Linked DNA regions of Ovis aries. The protein of the gene in region 2 purifies or fractionates together with the protein of the main gene of each other region. This does not show direct contact. Links are inferred from orthologs where the notes say so. Each region holds a gene or a part of one and is shown on either strand. Other genes may lie near its edges.

Region 1 (4,543 bases), on a different chromosome or scaffold from region 2:
ATGATGATGACAGGAGCTAAAGTTTCCACAAAGCTTATTATGTTCCAGTGTTGTCTTGCAAGCAGTACACATGTTAAATTCATAAGGTGGCTCTCACAAGCCTATTGGGTGGGTACTATTAAGACTGCCAACTGGGGAAACTGAGGCACACAGCGATCAAAACTCACTTCCGGGGACTTCCCTGGTGGTTCAGTGGCTAAGACTCTGTGCTCTCAATGCAAGGGGCCCCAGTTCGATCTCCGGTCGGGGAACTATTAATAGATTCCACATGCTGCAACTAAAGATCCAGCACACTATAACTAAGACCCTGTGCGGTCAAATTAATTAAAAAAAAAAAAAAAAAAAAACCCTCACTGGATCACAGCAAGTCAGTGATATGCAGAAGGAGCAGGATATGAACCCAGTCGGGCAGGCCTGCGCTCACAAGGGTACCAGGCTACCTTTTGGCTAATCCCCTCTTCCACTCTTGGTATTGCTTACTCTTTCCTCCCAGGCGCCGAGCCAAGTTCTTTCAAGATCTAATCTCATTTCATTTTCACGACAGTCTCATGGAGGCGGAGGGCTCGCTCCCCCAAAGCAGTGATGGTCCTGTGGCAGGGCTGGAGCCCAGGCTGCCAGTCACTGGCAGCTGAACCTCGTGCTGGAGACACCAGGCTCCCTGCCTCCACTCATCTCCACGACAGCCCTGGGTCCTCAGCGGTTGGACAGGGAAAGGTTTTGCGCCAGGAGGGAGTAGGGCGTGGTGAGAGGAGGATGCTGTATGAGAGCGGGCATGGCCTCCCAAACCAGCAGGACCAAACCTGGTGATAGAGATCAACTTCGTGACAAGAATAGGTGTTCCCGAGAATGAGCTTTAAAGCTTTGCGGAGAGCTTCAATATTTCATCATAAAATGTCACATATGGCAAGAGAGAAATACTAGAACTTTCTTTTTCCACTCCAGTGGCTTTCCCACCAGGTACACTAGCCAGGTGAAAGGGTTAGTCGCTTAATCGTATCCGACTCTTTGCAACCCCATGGACTGTAGTCCACCAGGCTTCTCTGTCCATGGGATTCTCCCTCCAGGCAAGAATACTGGAGTGGTCACTATTCCCTACTCCAGGAGATATTCCCCACCCAGGGATTGAAGCTGGGTCTCCTGCACCGCAGGCAGATTCTTTACCATCTGAGCCACCAGGGAAGCCCTAGCCAGGAGGCTGCTGCTTTAAGTAATGGGTTGGACCCAGAACTGGGACTAGATGTAGGCACGGATACTGTGTCTCAGCAGGATGAGGAAGGGCGCTTCTAGGTGTTTCTGGATAAACAACTGCAAGCTGATACATGGGAAGACAGAATGAGGTTTTCCTAACTGGAAAGTTCTAGAAGGTATATTCCATAAGTGTGAGAGCAAAGCAGCCCCTGGAATGTGGGTGTAGGAGCTCTGAGTTGGTGGAGCAAGAAGTTAGCACACAAGGTCTCAGGAGAGCCATTCTGTTGGTCTGTGAGCACAGCTGAGCGGCTGCGGGGGTGGGGGGGGGGGTTGCAGGTTGTCGAAAGAACATACAGACTTGGGATTCTGGGGGTCTGTATTTGGGGGAAAATAGATAAAAGAAGGGGCGGTGAATCTGGAATCAGGATGGGTGGGTTCCTTGTAACAGCAGGGTCATTGTGGATGTCTGAGAATAGCACACCAAGTTTGGGTCAGAAGGGAGATGGGATGGATTTGGGTCCTGGACTTGGGTTTGAATGTGGCATTCTGAAGCTGGCAAAGGTTCCCACTGGAAGTCTGTCTTGGGGGTGGGCGGGGACTGGGTGTGAGGTACCAAGGAGGGGCAGGGGTTCTGGCTGGGCAGGAAGCCACGTGGGTAGGGTTTCCTGATGTAATGGGAAATTGGGTCTAACAGTACCAGAGGCTAAAGAAGAGCCTCCGGAATTGGAGGCTCCATCAGGGTGGAGGTGGTGGTTCATTCTGAACAGGACCCAAGTTTCAAAATTCCAGGCCTAGATGAGACTGAGGGCCTTGGGGGGAGGGGGTACCAATCTTTGTTCTAGGGGAGGGGTCCTGGGTGTGGGTTGGAGTCCCAAGCCAGGAACAGAAATCTCAGGGGAAGACAGAATTATTTTATTCAGAGGAGTAAGACTTCTGGATCTGAACCATAAGGATCCAGAAAAGCAGGTCGCAGAACAGACTTAAACTATTGGGAACTCTAGGGTTTTGGAGGACTTCCAGACGGGGCCAGTGGTAAAGAGCCTGCCTGCCAATGCAGGAGACATAAAAGATCCCTGGATCGAGAAGATCCCATGGAAAAGGAAATGCCAACCGACTCCAGTATTCTTGCCTGGAGAATCGCACGGACAGAGAAGCCTGGCGGGCTACAGTCCATGGGGTCACAGAGTTGGACACGACTGAAGCGACTGAGCACAGGGGTTAGGAGGAGCCATGGAACAGCCAAGATCTTAACTGGGTACCCGACTAGGTTCAGGATCCAGATTCTGAGGTAGAAATCTGGGTGTAAATGGAAGATCCCAAGCAGGATTGGGAGGCACGTCAAAAGCTTGTCTTGGCAGTCTAAATTCTAAAAATATACCGTACAGGTCAACCTGGCGTTTCAAGAAGAAACTGGAAGCGCGGGGCGGTGGGGGTGGGGGGGGGGGGGCGGCGCCGGCATCGCGGGCAAGGAACTCAGGGGTCCCGGCAATTCTATGGCCCCGGAATTGAATCGAAGAACCCTAGGCTATTCGGAAAGTCCAGGCTGTAGGGGGCAATCCCAGGTATCAATGGCTGGGGCCCCCCGGCAGTATCAGGGGGTCAGAACTCTGAAGCGGAGTCCCGGGAGTGGGGGAAGGGGCTGGGCGCGCGAGCTCTACCTGGTGCCGCCAGCGGAAGAGGCTAGCGGTGTCGATGTTGGGGTGCGTCTCGTCTTCATCATCAGACACCTCGATGTGGTCCCACACGCTGTAGTCCACCATCTTGCCTCGGGGCCCAGCCCTCCAGGGTTCTGGTAGCGGTGGCGGCGACGGCGGCGGCGGCAGCGGCAGCACTGAGACACAGCCCGCGGAGCCCCGCCCCTTCCGCTTCCGCCCTGACGCTTACACCCCTCCCTCGCGTGACGTCACATCCTTAGTAACCTCAGCAGCGGCACTGGCGACCAAGTTCTTAAAGAGCCCTGCGCACGTGTTCCGGCTCTCGGGAGTCCGCTGAGACCTCACCCCATCCGGCTTCCGGCCTCCACTAGGCCCTTCCTGGGGAATTACGGGTGGGTTCTCCAACCTCGAGCCCCCCTCATCTCCCGCTACCCCACGGTGGGCGTTTACGGCAGCCTTGGGAGAGGGGGCAGTTGGCGAGACTGAAAAAGAGGATTGTCCTCTTAGCCACGCCACAGTGACGTCAGCCTGAGCCCACTACTGGGGCTCGGCCTCGGCGAAAAGACCTCGCTCCCGTCTTTTGTGAAGAGGGACTTAACTTTGTCCTGGAGATGGTGCCTGATGGGAAAGGACCTTCCCAGTACAAGGGGTACAAGGCCCTGCTCTAGGAGGGTCTAAGTGAAGGAAGGTTGTGGCCCTGCCCTCGAGGAGTCGAGATGGGGGCGATGTGGCCCTGCCTTGAGACCTGGTGTTTCCCTGGCTCGGACCACAGCTTCCCCTCTTGCCTCCCCCATCTTCTGCCACTCCTTAGCGGGGATTCGCGCATACACGCCCCCTCTGGAATCACCCGACCGCACTTAACGGGCCTCATTAGCTTGTCTACGGCGGCTCCCCATGCATCCGCTGGGTGTCGCTAGTGTCTAACTAGCGGCCAGTGCGGGTGCCCCGCGCCAGGTGGGGGAGGGGTGGAAGAGCTTGGAAGTGCGCACGCAGGGGGTCTTTCTCCGTCGAGGTACTCTGGGACTCCTCGCAGTCCCTCCCTCTTTCGTCTGGGATCCCCTTCCTCGTTCCAGACTCTAAGAACTCTATTACACTGAGCTTGGGCGACCGCAGCCACACATTTTCATGTATCCCTACCCACGCTTTGATACCGGGATAAAAGGCTGCGTTGCAGCCTAGGGCCAGGATTATCTCAGATTAAAGGGCGCAGGGCGGGGGACAGGGAGAATGGGTAGAGATTCAGCCACTTGAGTGAAGGGCGCCTCTTCCAGACTCCCCCCAACCAAGCAGGCGTTTGGGGGGGCGCTGGAGAGGAAGGAGTAAAGGTCTTTAAATGGGTGGGGTGTGGGGGATTCCCCGGCCCCGGGAAGGGGTGGGGCCATCCGGACAAAAGCGCCCGCCCGCCGCTGCCCCTCCCCCTCACGGTCCATTCAAACCCGCGAGTAGGCGGGCGGGGGCGGGGGAGTCCCCCTTTCCTCCTCCTCCTCCAACCCTGGCAGTTCAGCATCACAGCGGCCGTCAAGGCCCGGGTACGCGCGCGCACGGACCTACATCCCAGCGGGGCTCCCGATCTCACACTTACACACACACACACACACACACACACACACACCCCGGCAAACAAAGGGTCTGGACACCCCGGTCCCCTCCCGCCCCCCAGGCCGGAGAGGGCGGGGCATCCCCTCCCGAGCCCCCCTGCA
Region 2 (4,329 bases):
TCACACTACTGGGACTTTGACACCCTCATGCAAGCTCCTCAGAAGACAGACTCCAGAATCATCCTGCATCTAAGCCAGATCGTCCCTAGAAAGGGTTTCCAGGTAGGCACCAGCAGAACAGAAGGCTAGGAAAACAGGGAACCAGTCTCCTCTGGCTCTAATTCTCATGAGAGCCAGTTCTAGTTTCTTCTGGGCAGTAATCTGATGGAGCTGGACTCCTGTCTCTCGATTGCGGCACAAGCTCTACACCGCTCTCCTTCCATCTGCACGCTGACGTTCCCTCTACACACTCTAAGCCCTCCCGTCACAGTCTGCAGTTCCTGCAGCTTCATAGACACGGGAGATGCACTGTGGGTATGAGTCACTCCAGGAGGCCCTTTCTGACCCCTCACTGTCCTGAGTTTCTCCTGTGTTTGCTGGCCTCTGGTGGTGATAGTTTGAACTGTACTATCTTTTTATAGTGGTCAGCTGACAGGTATTGGTACACATTTTCTCAGTCCATATTCAAATACTGTGTTGAAAGAAAATATTTTTTACTGCTGAATTTTGTATTTTCTTTCAGGCATCAGAGCCATAATGCAAAAAACAAAACAAAACAGGGCTTGGGCTTTAGAATCAGACTTACTAGGTCCAATCCTAACTGCTATTTTCTGACAGAGTGACCTTGGTCAAGTTACCTAAATTCAGCTTTCTTACCTATAAAGTGAAGATAATAATAACTCAATGGGAGAATTAGATGTGATGATTGTAAAATTCATAGCCCTAGTCGTGCCCTAGCACGTAGGTGCTCAATAAAGTTTGTTACCTTTTCTATAATGGTGATCAATGTGATTTTTAAAAAATTTTTTGATAACATCAAATCTACCTTCATACACCTATTTTCAATGTGATTTTTAAAAAACTCATTTTACACAGCTGCTTTCCTGACCGTTGAGTTTAGAAAATGAGGTCAACTCGAAGTCTAGGCTGTGAAGCCTGTCTGTGCCCAGGGAACTGCAGATCTGAGCCCAGAAAATAAGAGCTAGAAGGGCTTTTGGGAACAGGTGAATGGCTCTGAGCACTTAACCTCACTTGGGTTTCCAGCCTGGGAAGAGCTGACAGCAGCCAGCACTTTTTCCTAGGGTCAGCAAAGGGCAGAGGTTTGGATCACTCTGTTCTCAGTGGGAACTCTAAGGCCCCCTCCTCCCACTTTACAGAGAAAAGAGGAGGTGGCTGAACAGAGGAAGATACGGAGACTGGTTCTCTGCTCCTCCCTCTCCCTCCTTTTCCCCACACCCATCCTCTCCCCCACAGCAGCCGTCTCCCCCACAGAGACTGGGAAGAGGGAGGGGGTGGAGTTGGGGGCTGAAGGATCAGAAGCCCCACGGTGCCCTGTGTCTGAAGGAAGCTCTGGCCAGGGACAGCTGTGCTGGCTCCTGCTGCCCCCTCCAGCATGATGCTGGGGCTCCTGGGGCTCTGGGCACTGCTTCCTACAGCTGTGCAAGGTAAGTGTCTACAGGGAGAAGCAGGGTCTTTCCAGCCACCCATCATGGGAGGGAGCACTTGATGAGTGATGAGTGGAGTGGGTGAGTGAGGATGAAGGGTACAGCCAGGTGTTCCCTTGGTGGGGGTCACGTTCCAGGCCTCTGCTGACCCTGTTTCCTCCTGTGGCTTTACCAGGCTAGCTCTGCAATACAAAACATGTTTTGTCTCTCTCCCGGCTTCTGTCTGCCCCTGCATTCACTCCCATCTTGACCCCTCCCCTCCCCTTACCCTGGCCTGCAGCACCCCCCAGCAGGCGGACCTGTGTGTTCTTCGAGGCCCCTGGAGTGCGGGGAAGCACACAGAACCTGGGGAAGCTGCTGGATGCAGGGCCGGGCCCCCTCAGGGTTATCCACTGCCTCTACAGCCACTGCTGCTTTGGAATCTGGAACCTGACCCAAGACCAGGCACAGGTGGAGATGCAAGGTGAATGGCGCAGCATCTGCCAGGCATACCTGGGTGGGAGAGAGGCTTATCCTGGGTGGAGGTGGCCGCTGAGGAGGGCAGGAGCAATGGAATGTGTGGAGGGAAAGAAAAGGCTGTGAGAGATGGAAGGGATGCCCTCTGTGTTCCCAGACCCATACACACTCTGTCCCTCCCTTTCTCTCCTCCCAACCCCTCTGTGTCAGGATGCCGAGACAGCGATGAGCCAGGCTGTGAGTCCCCCCGCTGTGACCCAAGTCCCCGAGCCCATCCTCGCCCCAGCTCTACTCTCTTCACCTGCTCCTGTGGTGCTGACTTCTGCAATGCCAATTATAGCCATCTGCCTCCTCTGGGGAGCCCTGGGACACCTGGTTTGGAGGGCCCCCAGGCCATCCCAGGTAGCCACCCAAGGTGCTGGAGCCAGGTGGGGGCTGGGGCCCAGGTTAGATGAGAGGTTAGAACCAGGGCCAATTCTCACCCTACCGCTGTCCTAAGCTTCCCTCCTCCTGGCCTTGAGAAGTTGGTTGCCCTGGTGACTGGGAGATAAGGGGGCTTGTGACCAGGGTGGGGGTGGGTAGAGAAGCAGTTCTCTGAGGAGTGAGAGAAGCAGAGAGCGAGGTTCGGGGCAGGGCTCACCCAGTCTTTCTTGCTCTAACCTCCAGGGGAGTCCACCTGGATAACGCTGCTGCTGCTGGGACTGCTTCTGCTGCTGCTACTGCTGAGCAGCATCATCTTGGGTACTACTCTGCCCCACCCCCCCTAGTGATCCCCCCAAGGTACTGCCCCAGCGCTCTGACCCCTCTCCAGGCTCCCCTGACTCCCATCACTTCCCAGTCTCCATGCCTGGGTACCCTGACCCTAAGGCTGTTCTCTGCTCCAGCCCTGCTACAGCGGAAGGCCTGCCGCGTGCGAGGTGGGCCAGAGCCAGTGCCAGAGTCAGATTCAGGCAGGGACTGGAGTGCTGAGCTGCCGGAGCTGCCTGAGCTACGCTTCTCCCAGGTGCCCAGGGATGGTGGGGAAGGGGCCTCTGGGCCCTCCCAGAGAGTGTGCTGGAGAGGAAGCCTGGCCCCTGCGAACTCGGCGAGATCCAAACCCAGCACCGTGTCCCCACCAGGTCATACGGGAAGGAGGTCACGCAGTGGTGTGGGCTGGGCAGCTGCAAGGCAAGCTGGTAGCCGTCAAGGCCTTCCCCCTGAGGGCTGTGGCCCAGTTCCAAGCTGAGAGAGCGTTGTACGAGCTGCCCGGCCTACAGCATGACCACATTGTCCGCTTTATCACCGCCAGCAGGGGCAGCCCTGGCCCCCTGCCCTGTGGGCCCCTGCTGGTACTAGAGCTGCACCCCAAGGTGAGGACTGAGGAATGTATGTGTGTGGGAAGGCGGGGCGGGGAGTGGTGGCAGCTAGGCCCTGTTCAGGCTTGTTCCTTTGCTGTAGATTGCCTTTTCTCTAGAACATTAAATACGCTTTTTAACTTTTTTCTTTTTATTATTATAAGCAGTACTTGCTAATATTTTTGACTTACAATATATAGAAAAGGAAAGGGAGAAATCAAAACAATTCATATCCCCAACCTTAAGGAAAACCAATGTTAAAGACAGATCTCTGGGCATAGACTTCCAAATTCATTCATCTATCCATTCAACTAATATTTATGAACAATATGTTGCTGGAAAAAACACACCCAGCCCCTACCCTTCCCAGATTTTACAGAGTAGTAGGGGAGGCAGAAGGGGATCAAGCAAACACAAAAAGAAATGTAAAGAGTCAAGTGAATTAAGTGCTGAAAAGGCCCTATAAGAAAAGACAGAGGAGGCGTAACCCAAAGGGAGGGTCATGAGCGAAAAGGATGAAGAGAAACAGATAGGCAGGGGCCAGACCGCACCGGCCTTGTAGGCCTCTAAGGACTTGGGATATCATCACCTACAGTTCCTCCACCTCTGAAATCTTGAGTGCTGAGAAGTCTCTTCTTTGACCATATACCTCACAGCCCAGCTTGTTTGGTTTTGTTTAACTTTCCGGGCACACTGAAGGCGCTTAATAATGTCTGTAGAATGAGGGACTCCACTGTTCCTTTCCTCCCAGCTGCTCCCCTACCCAACAGCTCTCCCCATCCACGCCCTGCTACGGGGTGACCCCCCAGGCCAGGTGACTCATGCGGGTGCCCCTACCTAGCCTACTTGGCCTCTTCTGTCTTTATCCCAAGTCCTGTGAGGCAGTATAAGGTGGTTAAAGGTGAGTGATGTTGGCAGTCAGACTGCTGGGGGGTCAGGTTGTACGGCTCTCTCGCCCAGGGATTTCCAGCAAGCTCCTCATCCATAAAACAGGAATGACAGGAGTACCCACCTCTCAGGGTTGTAGTGAGGGTTACAGGAGGCCTGGCACGTAA

Evidence for each region.
Region 1: the proteins of AMHR2 (region 2) and CDC37 purify together in Homo sapiens (co-immunoprecipitation; 3 studies listed by BioGRID and IntAct, with this or other methods). This does not show direct contact. The link is inferred for Ovis aries from reciprocal best matches to the Homo sapiens genes AMHR2 and CDC37.

Annotation. Positions count from the first base shown.
Region 1 is NC_056058.1:12,789,468-12,794,010, forward strand, and holds the start of CDC37 (hsp90 co-chaperone Cdc37), read right to left. Parts: upstream 3,044-4,543; 5' UTR 2,949-3,043; coding exon 2,847-2,948; intron 1-2,846. UniProt on the Homo sapiens protein: Co-chaperone that binds to numerous kinases and promotes their interaction with the Hsp90 complex, resulting in stabilization and promotion of their activity. Inhibits HSP90AA1 ATPase activity.
Region 2 is NC_056056.1:133,080,961-133,085,289, reverse strand, and holds the start of AMHR2 (anti-Muellerian hormone type-2 receptor), read left to right. Parts: upstream 1-1,354; 5' UTR 1,355-1,432; coding exon 1,433-1,484; intron 1,485-1,764; coding exon 1,765-1,947; intron 1,948-2,150; coding exon 2,151-2,342; intron 2,343-2,606; coding exon 2,607-2,681; intron 2,682-2,824; coding exon 2,825-2,943; intron 2,944-3,058; coding exon 3,059-3,289; intron 3,290-4,329. UniProt on the Homo sapiens protein: On ligand binding, forms a receptor complex consisting of two type II and two type I transmembrane serine/threonine kinases.